Linked DNA regions of Rattus norvegicus. The protein of the gene in region 3 binds, or shares a complex with, the protein of the main gene of each other region. Links are inferred from orthologs where the notes say so. Each region holds a gene or a part of one and is shown on either strand. Other genes may lie near its edges.

Region 1 (3,645 bases), on a different chromosome or scaffold from region 3:
CTCATCTTGGCTGGGTTGATCCTCCTGTCCCAGCCCTCAGTGCTGGGGCTACAGCACCCCCTCCCCCAGCTTCCACACAACTTGGGTCCTCCAGCTTGTGCATGAGTGCTCTGCTTATGTCTGTAAGTCGGGGTGTATGTGTATCGGGTGTCGCTGCCTCTGTGTGGAGATTAGAGGACAAGTCTGTGGTGATGAGGGCTCTGGGGATGGAGCACAGGTCATGAGGCTTGAGGTGTAGCAACTTGGCTCACTAAGCAATCCCCTGAGCCCTGTATTCTTTAAATTAAACTGTAGTTATATTTTACTGTGTGTGTGTGTGTGTGTGTGTGTGTGTGTGTGTGTGTGTGTGTGTCTTCGTGTATACACACATGTGAACTCTCACAGGGCAGAATGCAGGAGTCAGTTCTCTTCCACTAGACTGAAACCCAGAAGGTCAGGCTTGTGGGAATCCCTTTTTTAACTGCTGGGCCATCTCTCTTGCTGCCCCTTCTCTTTTGTTTTTTCTGAGACAATGTGACCCTGGAGGGTCTGGAACTTAAGGTTTCCCTACCTCAGTCTCCTGAGAGACACCACAATGCTGTACCTACAGATTCTGAAAGGGAGGCTGGTACAGAGAGCAGTCTCTGACACTGAGTCCTGCCATCTGCTGCCAGGGCTCAGGCTACACACTCTGCTGGGTTTCAGTCTTATCCCTGACTTCCGCCCTGGAAAAGATGGCAGGTTGGGAAAGGAAGAGAAAGGCAGCCTACCAAGAGGTTAACGGCCTCAATGACGTCCAGGAATACTTCGTTCTTCCGATACTTGATACCTTCTGAGCGCCAGGACACAGCATTGGTGACGGTGGCTGGGGGCCGAGGGGCTCCTGTTTCCAGCTTGTGGCCTTCCTGAGTGATGTACCTGTGGGGAGTCGCTTAGTTACAGTAGTGACACACAACGTTCCACCGAGATCAGGACAGAGCTTGAAGCCCCACATCAACTGGTCGGGGAGGGTACGGTATGCATGCTATAGTGAGTGGGCCAAATACACTTCATTTCTGAGGCAAGGCACTGGTGTGCGGTGGGGAATAGGATTAAGTGGTCAGCACTGTGGGCTCCTGGAGGGACTGAGCCCTCTGCCACCAGGACAGCAGAGCAGCAGCTCTCCCCAGACTCCCAGGTAAGTGGCGAGCTGGCACCCCAGGCCGCACGGAGCGGTGGAAGTGCAGAATGGGGCCTGCTGGTTTCTGCCTCTGCAGGTGGGGATTCCAAAAGCCTGCCTCAGTTCAGTACAGTCAGCAAAGGCAGGGCTCCGATTAAGGTACCATATTTGTGTGGGTGGAGACATGGGGTATATGTATAGGAAAGGGTCCTGACCCAAGAGGCACTCAGCAGAAAGCATCTGCAGGGCTGAATCCCTGCACCACACACAAAATTAGGAACTCCATGTCCAGAACCCAGTACACAGGACACATGGCCCATTCCTGTCAGCCCAGCGCTCCAGAGGCAGACATAGGAGGATCAGGACCCTATCTCAAAATAACTAAAAAACAGTTGGTGCAGAAGGAGCAAGCTGATTGCTCTGTTGGGCTGGCAACTAAGCCGCTGGGAGTGGGGGTAGGCAGGGGACACGTGTACTCACTCCTGCAGGATCTTGCTGTCGGTGGTCTGCGGGTAGCCGAAGTCCATGAGCTCATCCAGAAGCTCATAAATGATAACAAAGTTGTCTCGGATGCTCTCCTCCTCCAGCTCCTTAAAGTACTCAGAGAACACCTGGGCCAGGGGCAGCGGAGCAGGACTCAGCCCAGACCCAGAGTGATTGCACAGGCCAGAAACCAAAATCTGAACTACAGACCACAGGCATTGGCCAGGCGGGGCCCTGTACCAGCACTTTGGCTGTCCAGGCCTCTGTATCAATCCCAGCTGTGCCTGTGATCCCTGCCTCGGCCTCAAGACTGCTGCCTATCCACATAGGGTGTTGCTGTCTGGCTGTAGACAAGCACCTCCATTTCAATAGGTAGCTAGGGGGCTAATGAAGGGACCTGGTCTTTACACTAGCACAGAAGCGCACAGGTCCTTACAAGTGGGAAAGGCCGGCTCTGGGAAATGTGCTCCAGCACCCCAGTCATATTCCACCAATCAGAGGTGGCTAAGCCAGGCTGTTCAGAGTGGACCTGCTCAGAAGGAAACCACCTGGAGGCTCTCCCCAAAAGATAATGGAGGCTCTCCATCTTCTACCCTTGTCTAAGAGGCGCCCACCCAAGAGGGAGGGGGAAAGACAGGAAAGGGGTTCCTGACCTCCAGAGGCACTTAGTGGAAATACAGACTAGCCCTGGAGCCCTTGCTTAATACTAGCACCAAACAGGTTGACTCAGCAGCCAGAGGTTACTTAAGTCCAAAGGTGTCCTGGGTAAAGCTAGGCACTAATTAGTATCAAACCACACTCCATGGCCCCAAGGTCCAGCCCTGTGCACCTAACTGATCCCAGGCCCTACTGCGCAGGCACAGGGCCTGGATCACATGATGCACCTCCTGCCAGGAGGGTTGCACAGCCAGGTTCCCATCTTGCTAGCTTTCTTTACCTCCAGGGTGGGCATGACTCTCACCTGCAAGGAAACTGAGACTTCCTGGACCAGGACCCCTGGGTATACAAAGCTACAATCCCCAAAGTCCTCCCCAGCTGGGAAGTCAAACCACTGGGGCCTTACCTGCACCACCTTGTAGAGGAAGGAGAATACTAGCGACACACAAGCATTCTTTTTTGAAGTGGCGACCACTGGTGGGTAGCAGTCAAGGAGCCTTCTGAGGCCAGGATACCACACCACAGGTGCCCATCCCCACGGCTCCCTGCCCCAGCCACAATCCAGTGGTCCACTGAGCCCAAAATTAGGACTAAGCCCCAAGTCTGAGCCAGGCCAGGGACATGTGGTAAGCATTCAGAGGAGCCTTGGTGACAGAAAGTGTAAGGTTTAAGGGGTAGCTTCTGGATGCTGCATTTAGGAGCAAGACTAGGAGAGCCCAGCTAGGTGGAGAAGCAGCCAGGGCCAGGCCTCTCTTCTTTCTGTTGGTGACAAAGCCCCTACAGTCCTCTGCTCTACCAACTGAGCTATCGAAGGAAGCCGACAAAGCCCTTCTGAGGAGAATGCTATACATGTCTATTCACTCCAAATAGGGAGCCCACAGTAGACCCAAGGATGGGCCATTTCCTTTCAGGTATCCTTGGAAGCTGCCCACTGGGTCCATATAAAGTCTGGTCATAGGGAAGCCAACACAGGTTAGAAAATTGTTAAGGCTGCTGGCTCTGCTGTGACGCAGTCTGCAGTTTTGCGTGTTCTCCTAACACTAATTATGGCCTGAACAAATGGACACATACATAAAATCAATCTGTAGATTTAGTACGACATCAGAAAGACATGAGAAACTCTCTCTCACCAGTGCAAACACAGCACAGCTACAAGCATTTCATGCAAGTGAGCAGCAGGGGAAGCCACCACCAAGGTCTCAGCCAGCTAGGCGTTATGTGTGGACATCCATGGAGATAATAGTGATAGCAGTCACTTCACTAACATGAAGACGACCAGGTGTAATGGCACTTCTACCTACCTTACAGCCCAGCTGAGGCTTGAATAATTGAAAGGAAAAGTGGAGGGCTACAGAGATGGCTCAGTG
Region 2 (4,306 bases), on a different chromosome or scaffold from region 3:
TTTTTCGGAGCTGGGGACCGAACCCAGGGCCTTGCGCTTCCTAGGTAAGCGCTCTACCACTGAGCTAAATCCCCAGCCCCAATTTTGAACTCTTGATCCTAATATGTCTGCCTCTACCTTCCAAATCCCCACATTATAGGTGTATACCGGCGCATTCCTGTTCTGTAGCCCTAAAGCTGGTCACCACCTCTTGCTCCTCCTGCCTCAGCCTCTGCAGAGCTGGGATTAGAGGTATGCCTCACCACACCCAGTTCTCAAAACCCACCCTCCATTTTGGTTTTGGCTTCTTGTTTGCTTGACAGAGCCTCACTGTGTAGTCTAGGCTGGCTGTGGCCTTCTGGCTATGGGTTTACACCACACCCCTTCAATACCTTAAGATTCTCCTCATTCCGTCCCCTTTCTCCTTAATTTACAATTTCCTCCTGCTCTTTATAGTGTCCCCCTTTTCAGCAATTTTTTTTTATCCCTGGTTTCTACATATTTTGTTTGCTTTAAGACAATGCAGCATCTCCAAGTTCTTAATGAATACTTAAGTGTTGTACTGTCTTAGTTTCTTTAAGGTTACATTTAGAAGTATATTTTGCATTGTCTGTGACCATGTGGGGATGTATGCAGGACCAGGGCACTTGCTTGTGCAGATATCAGAGGACAATTTGCAGGAGTCAGTTCATTCTTTCCACCTAGTGGGTTGGGGGGAAACATCTTTACTATCCGAGCCATCATATCTGCACTGTTTGGTGTCACTTTTTTTGTTGCAGACAGGTTCTCTTGTGGCCGTGGGCGGTCTCGACCATGCTATGTAGTTGAGGCTGAACTTGAACTGCTGTTGCTCCTGTCTCTGCCTTCCAAGTGTAGACATCACGTATGTGCTCCTGCCGTGTTTGTTTTGGAGACAGGATCTTGCTCTGGAACTCTGAGCTGTTCTTGAACTCTTTATTCTCCTGGCCTCCCGTCCTGTATTTCCCTCATCCTGCCCACCACCACCCTTTCTTTGACTGATGTTTCCCACACCATTCCTCCCAACTTCTTCGTAAACTCTAAAGATCCTTCATCCACCTCTCACCCTTTTCCCGCCTTTTTCCCCCCCACAAATGCTCCAAAGCTCGAGGCCCTCATTGTCCTCCACTCCCCTTCCCATCCTCCAATCAACCCACCAAGGCAGCCTTGTTACCATGACGACCGGGCTTTTGCAAAGCTGAAGTCAAGGACCTGGTTACCATGGTTTCCGCTTCTCCGCCTCCAGCCCCGCCCGCGCGCCGTATGAGATTGGGGGGGGTGTGCTGCAGCGTTGGCGCCTGCGCAGTGAGACCACGCCTGGAGCCGGCGCGGTCTAGGGGCGGGGCTTCAGGCGGAGAGGGAGGGAAAAGAAAAGAATCCGACTGGGAGTGGAGCTGGCTTCTACGGTGGCCGGAGAGGGACGCACCGGGCCGGAGGCTGCAGGATGGTAGGCTTTGAGGAGAGGGAGGGGACGGGGACCCGAGGGGCGTGGGCTGTACCTGCGAGGGTCCGGAGGGGGGCTGCCCTTTGTGGGAGTCGCCCTGTCTTCTCTGTGGTCCGCTAAGGATCCACTTCCCAGAGCTGCTAGGGAGAGCTGACCTCGGAAGCTGGAAATGGCACTAGGACAGGGGCGGGGAGGAGTCTTGGTTGGGAGAGAGGGGACTAGGGCTGAATGGTGGCGGGACTGTCCGGAGCCTGGAGAAGCGCTCGGGATTCTGGGTTCGGTCCTAGAGATCCTCCCAATCACCGCCGCAGGGAAGACACGAGGTTGGGGCTCCGGGGTCACTCGGGATGGTTGCAGGTTGCCGAATCCCCTTCCCATGAGGCCCACACTGGAGCAGGGCCCATGGAGAGCTCAGTGTGGGAGGGGACAGTTTCCGGGTCTCTGGAGTGAACCTCCTGTCTCGGTTCCTTGACAGAACTCGCTCGGAGTTCTAGCTCAAGTGGGCTCCAGGGTTTGCAGTCAGGGAAGACTCCCTGACTTTGGCAATCCCAGCTCTCCACCCTCTCCGGTGCATTTTCTTTTCCGGAACCCAGGCCTTCCGTCTTCCTGCTGTAGTTGTCACCTCCTTTTCTTAGCTGCACACGGCTCCCTCAGTTCTTCACCTTCCTTATCCCCCACCAACAACACTCCCTAGTTTCTGGGGTTTGTTTCTTTTAACTTAACCTGCTAAACTGGAAGTGTGGCACACACACAGATATCCCAACCCCGGCCATGTTCTCAGAGCTGTTTGCAGGGAATTGAGTTCAGGATATGGAATCCGGAACCTCTGCAACTGGGAAAAACAAAGAAAACAAAAACAACAACAACAAAAAAAAAACAAAAAACAAAAACTAGGTCCATGCGCGAAGCAATGAGGACTCTGCCTGCTATTTATTCCACAGACATTCCCTAGGAGAGCCCTCCTGGGTGACTGGGCCCTGTCTGAGGGACTGAGCAACCAGTCACCTGATGTCTGGGAAGAAAGGTCAGGCCTTATAGTGCACACCTGTAACCTGGCACTCAGGAGCTAGAACCAGGGGGATCAGAAAACCAAGGGTAGCCTTGGCTATCTGGTAATTGAGGTCAGCCTGTGCTACGTGAAACATTGTCTCCAAACAGAAACAGAGAAAAGAGGGCCAGAGAGATGGCTAGGTAGCTGATAACCTGAGGTCATTCTCAGGAACCCACTGGTGGGAGAAGTGAACTGACCTCCACATGTGGGTGGTGGAACCTGGGTGCCCCACATATATATGTAAAATAATATAAAATAACACTTTAAAAAACTGGGAAGAAAGAAAGCCAGTACTTGGAGCTAAATGTGTGGACAGCAAAGGAAAATGGAGGGCAAGATCTGAATATCCCTGTGCCTCGTGCAATCCAATGTATGTACAATTTACAGAGAAGAATGTCAACAAGCATGGGACTGGCACAAGAGGCCATATTGAGTCAGGAACATCTGAAGGCTTATTGCAGGATGGAGTAGCCACCCAACATCTGTGAGACATGGGGTCTAGAAGAACATACATAGAACTGCTGTCTGTTGACATCAGCTCATCAGGAGGCCAGGCATTTTCCCCATGGAAAACAAGGTTAGGAAACAGAAGTTCAGGGGAAAATAGCAGCGCCTAGCATGTTGCAGGTCCTACTGTGTGCCAGGCACCCTCATAAATGAACTCATTTAAGAATTCCTTAAGGGAAGAAGGGTGGAGAGAGAGATGGTTCAGCAATTAAGCACACTTACTGCTCTTCCAGAAGACCAAGGTTCAGTTTCCAGCACCCATGTCAGACAGCTCACAATTTTCTGTAACTCTGGACCCAGCAGATCTGACACCTCTGGTCTCTGTGGGCACTTGCACTCATGTGCACTAACCCGCTATGTAGACACATGCACACTCACACAGAGTTAGAAATAATAAAAAATGGGCTGGAGAGATGGCTCAGTCCTTAAGAGTATGTGTTGCTCTCACAAAGGACCCTCCCATCACCCACCATGGCGGCTCATAACCGTCTATAACTCCGTTTCTGGGGGATTCGACAGGTACGCGTGTGGTGCACATACACATGTGCACATAAATATCATACACATACCACAAATCTTTAATAACAATAAGTCCTAGAAGACCTCTATAAAAAAGTGTCATTTCCATCTTGTGGATAAGCAAACCGAGGTTCAAAGGCTGCTTGATACTACTGAAGGGCAGTCAGACAGCTCAGTGGGTAAAGGCACCTTCTGCCAAGCCTGAGTGTCAGAGTTTGATCCCTGGAGCTCACACAGTAGACACAGACAACCAGCTCCCCAAAGCCGTCCTCTTACCTATACACACACACAAGTAAGTGTGATAAAAATGCTTTTACGTTTATTTTATCATGTGTGTGGGTTTGTGCTCGCACAGCATGAATGTGGAGAGAAGACAGCTTGTGGGAGTTGGTTCTCTCCTGTAATGTGGGTCACAGGTATTGAGCTCAGGCCACCGGGCTTGGAACCAAGCACCTTAACTGATTTAGCCATCTTGCTGGCCCAGTGTAAAGTAGTTTGCCTGAGGCTGTACTCAAGCTAGTAGAGCCAGTATTTGAACCCAAATCACAGGCATAAAAATCTTTGACTTCCCCCCCAGGTACGACACTCCTTGTAGGGATAGCACCCAGTATTGACAGCTAGGACAGGAGTTTTGAAGGAGTTATCGATGTACAGCCTGGAGTCTGGGGCTGTGTTTGTGTAAGAAAACAGGCTCCACCCCCCTTCTCTGCCCCTCAGCACCGGTCCTTCTTCCCTTGCAGATGCGATTCATGCTACTGTTCAGCCGGCAGGGAAAACTTCGGCTACAA
Region 3 (3,638 bases):
CAGGAAATGTCCGTTGTTACAATTTAGGGTCTTCATAGTAATGACACTATGCTGGCCTAGCAGCATCACCTGTGTATGGCTTTGTTTTGGGTGTTATCCTGGGCACTACATTTTGTTAGTGTATCTTGAGCTTCAAAATGCTACATTTCATAGATTTACCACATAGCTTTCATTTTTTTAGTGTCTCTGAAATTGATGTGCAGTTTGAGCTCAATACCATAAAGCTGAGGATTTAGCTCAGTGATAAAGGCCTAAGTTTGATCATCTCCTTCCCCATAGAAAAATAAACTTGATGTCTAATCATAGTTTAATGGGAAACTTTTTCTTTTTCAGTGCTATATAAAATAAATATTTGCATCATAGTTGATAGTATCTTAAATGTAATGAAATATATTAGTAATGACATTTTACCTTACATAATTCATTTTGAGAATAGAATTATGAATGAGACCCCAAGATAATAAGCTTGTGCTTTCAGTTTGACTCTTCCTTTTCTAATATATGAGCTTATAAAGGGCTCCTCTGTCAGTCAGGAAAGGCTTTGTACAGTGTGGTTTACCTGGCTTGCCTAAAGCACTTTATTGTTTCACCTCTGTAAACAGGTAAAAGCCTATCCACACTGAACAAACTAAGACATTTGACTTGTCTTGACCTTTTGTTGTTTGGGCTGGTTCTGCATGTACTTTTTCTTTAGGGCCTTGTGTCTCTGGTGGAACCATCCTGAATGTTCCACTTACATATTTACAGCTGGCTTTTCAAGCCATTCCTTCCCTTTTCTTGTAGGGGCAGACCTTGACAGACCTTGGCATACTGCACGTTAATTGTTCAGGCTTTAGGAAAGAAAGGTCTAATCCCGAGGCCTAGTCTTGAGGTTCCATAGTCACATAAAGGTCTGTAGTCCGTGGCTAGTGTGTTGGTTTATGAGGTTTGGAAAGCTTTTCTGTCAGGTTCTTTTTGGCTTTGTTTCAGGCCATAGGCCTCCAATCTTTACTTGCACAGTTGATCAGTCACTACTAATCAGGGTTTCTAGAACAAGGAGTGTTGCCTTTTGAGAAGTGATAGTCTAGAGCTCCTTTAGCTAGAGACAGGAAAGTAGCTCCACTATGTTTCCACAACCAGAGACTTGAGTTGAATGAGTGACTTTCTGCTTACATATCATGGATGGAGTCTGGAAAATAAGCACTGTCAAAGCATAGGGAACCTGTCTCTGACCCACCTGCTGGCCGGCTAACTGCTTACTTGCTGGCTTCTTTGACCCAACACTGCTATTTGTTCTCATGCGTGTCCTTTGTTCCTCTGTAGACATTCCAGCTGCAGCTTCTGTCTCCTAGCAGCAGCGTCGTCCCAGCCTTTAATACAGGGACCATCACACAAGTCATTAAAGTTCTGAACCCACAGAAGGTAAGTAGTACATTTAAACAGATCTGTATAAGGTTCAAGTAAGCTCAGTTTTCTTTCTGACTCAGATCTAGGAAAATGCCTGGTCTAACTTCCTTGTTCTTTTGTAGAGATAAACCAAGCCCAGGGACATCAAAAAGATTAGTGACATTAAAATGCAACTAAAAATTCTCTATTGTGAGGATTAAAGGTATTGTTTTGAGGATTTAGCAAAAGTTTAAATCAGAGGTTGAATCAAAAATCTATATTTACTGTTACAATTAGTATGGTTATTAAAACTGGAAGCATTTTAAGTGAAATAGTTAAATGAAAAATAGCAGTAGAAACCAGTTTAGCCAGAGTTTCACTATAGAAGAAACTATAGAAGTTTCATCTTCTCAATGAAATCAACTGTTTTTCCCTTATAACTATCTGATTTTCAGTTTTTGCTTTTCAAGTTCTCTGCCTTTTCTCAGTTCTTTTTTTTTTGTATCTCAATCATGTTATTACTATAAACACAGCACACATTATTTTCATCATCTGATACCTGCAACAAAACTTTTTTTAATGTACTGATATTTGATATTTGCTACAGAAAGTACAATACACTTAAAACCATTCCTGTTACCTGTGTACCCAGGTTTTTCTTTTATGCTTTGGAAAAACAAACATTGGTGATGTTTACTGTGGGCTGCATAAACCAACCAACAGGTGACCCATATGTATAACATGTGACATGTGTCTCCCTCATTTTCTAGAGACTTGGACAAAGAGTTAAATTTTTGTCGTTCCCCCCCTCCCCAATTGTATTCTAGGTGTGCGTGTTCTCTGCTTGATGGCCTTGATGTTGATTCGTAGGCTTCAGTCAGCAGCGATAGATGTTTTGGCACAGGCTGTCTGTCTGTCTGTGTGCCACTTGAGATAGCGTTACCTGGGTGTACTTTACCTACCTTTAGGATAAATACATCTGTGGAGTGGCATGGCAGCACGTGCCTGGGGTCCTCAGTACTTGGGAGGCTGAATCAGCATCACTTGAGCTGAAGGGTTTGGGGCTAGCCTGGTCCACGTCGTGGAACCCTATTTCCAAGAAACAGTCTATAGACTGCCGAGACAGGGAGATTTAATTTCAGTGAATTAATTCATGGTTCTCTTTCCCTTCTATAGCAACAGCTGCGAATGCGGATCAAGCTCACATACAATCACAAGGGCTCAGCAATGCAGGATCTCGCAGAAGTGAACAATTTCCCCCCTCAGTCCTGGCAGTGAGGGTGCAGCACCATTCTCATTCTATCCCACTCAATCAAAGGAATTCTGGGAAGGAGGTTGTGATTGCTGGCAAGTCCCCCACTGTAACCATGGGCACGAGGAGCTGAGAGAGCTGTTGAGGGTTCTCCTCACCTTACTGCTGACCTTGAAGCATCAGTAAAGACTAATGTCCTCTCCTCCGCTGTTGAGGCTGGCTGCTTCTCAAGGCTACTTTGCACTCCTCCTCTTCTCCCTTTTCTGCACTTCACCCCTCCCACATTTGCAGCCAGAATCAACATTTTCTGGGCCACTGAGGCAATCAGCAGCGGTCTGGAGGAGAGGACTGGAATTCACGGCAAGAAAACACTCACTCTGTCTCTGCAGCAAAGAGTGGCCCCTACTTTCTACTGTGGTGTCTCTGTGGACTGGGCAAGGTGGTTACCATCGTAAGGCGCTTTTATACCAGGCAGGCATTGGAATGGATTGTAACAATGGACATAAGGGAGCCCTGCCCTTTTCTGCTGGTTCTCCCAATGTTTGAAAGGTGTTAGGCTCCTGGCAGCCTTTTCTGTGCATTGCTGTATACACACAGACACACATGTATGTATGTTTGTTATATAAAAAAATCTGGTCAGACCTTGAGAGGTGGTTTGTAAACACTGGACAGATGCAGTTCAAGAGCTTTTGTTGAGATTTGGCATGAAGGATATGGTGCTCTATTTCTAATAGAAACTTCCAAGGCTCCCAGCTCCCCTTTCTCTCCATTCTTAGCTGTAGTCATGAGTTCTCTCTCCATGATTTTCAAGATCAGTTCCCATTAAATTGCAAAGTGGACACTTTCTAAAAAACATATGAATAGTTATTAATGATCCTATTCCCCCCACAGTGTTTCTCCCAAGCCTGTCACTTGCCTGTTTGAGCTGTGGTAAATGGGTCAAAAGAGGAGTTCAGTCCTAAGGAGCAGACCCTGTCACAAACACCATGGCCCATAGGAAGAGCAGTACCAGACTCAATCT

The links.
Region 1: the proteins of Ap1g1 (region 3) and Ap1m1 are in contact, whole or in part, in a cryo-EM structure (PDB 7R4H), measured with the Mus musculus proteins. The link is inferred for Rattus norvegicus from reciprocal best matches to the Homo sapiens genes AP1G1 and AP1M1. Residues at the interface, in NP_001288140.1 of Mus musculus: Arg24, Glu25, Gln28, Lys29, Ala32, Arg35, Ser36, Arg39, Glu40, His64, Phe65, Gln67, Leu68, Gln97, Val99; in NP_031482.1 of Mus musculus: Ser289, Asn318, Asp319, Ala320, Asp321, Ser322, Trp334, Pro336, Glu337, Asn338, Ser339, Gly361, Leu362, Pro363, Ser364, Val365, Glu366, Ala367, Glu368.
Region 2: the proteins of Ap1g1 (region 3) and Ap1s1 are in contact, whole or in part, in a crystal structure (PDB 1W63), measured with the Mus musculus proteins. The link is inferred for Rattus norvegicus from reciprocal best matches to the Homo sapiens genes AP1G1 and AP1S1. Residues at the interface, in NP_001288140.1 of Mus musculus: Leu7, Arg8, Ile11, Arg12, Arg15, Leu54, Tyr55, His57, Met58, Gly60, Tyr61, Lys78, Phe79, Thr80, Arg83, Ile84, Leu87, Met90, Leu91, Asp94, Glu95, Thr115, Phe117, Leu123, Cys124, Gly127, Cys128, Tyr152, Lys155, Lys156; in NP_031483.1 of Mus musculus: Met1, Leu14, Arg15, Leu16, Gln17, Lys18, Trp19, Leu21, Ala22, Thr23, Asp25, Arg28, Lys29, Arg42, Lys45, Met46, Cys47, Ser48, Phe49, Glu51, Lys56, Gln74, Asp75, Asn76, Glu77, Leu78, Ile79, Leu81, Glu82, Leu83.

The regions. Positions count from the first base shown.
Region 1 is NC_086034.1:17,626,289-17,629,933, forward strand, and holds part of Ap1m1 (AP-1 complex subunit mu-1), read right to left. Parts: intron 2,753-3,645; coding exon 2,685-2,752; intron 1,750-2,684; coding exon 1,619-1,749; intron 898-1,618; coding exon 750-897; intron 1-749. UniProt on the Homo sapiens protein: Subunit of clathrin-associated adaptor protein complex 1 that plays a role in protein sorting in the trans-Golgi network (TGN) and endosomes.
Region 2 is NC_086030.1:25,260,671-25,264,976, forward strand, and holds the start of Ap1s1 (adaptor-related protein complex 1, sigma 1 subunit), read left to right. Parts: upstream 1-1,365; 5' UTR 1,366-1,441; coding exon 1,442-1,444; intron 1,445-4,258; coding exon 4,259-4,306. UniProt on the Homo sapiens protein: Subunit of clathrin-associated adaptor protein complex 1 that plays a role in protein sorting in the late-Golgi/trans-Golgi network (TGN) and/or endosomes.
Region 3 is NC_086037.1:54,733,981-54,737,618, forward strand, and holds part of Ap1g1 (AP-1 complex subunit gamma-1), read left to right. Parts: intron 1-1,216; exon of another isoform or gene 1,217-1,302; coding exon 1,303-1,401; exon of another isoform or gene 1,402-2,479; intron 2,480-2,541; coding exon 2,542-2,643; 3' UTR 2,644-3,638. UniProt on the Homo sapiens protein: Subunit of clathrin-associated adaptor protein complex 1 that plays a role in protein sorting in the late-Golgi/trans-Golgi network (TGN) and/or endosomes.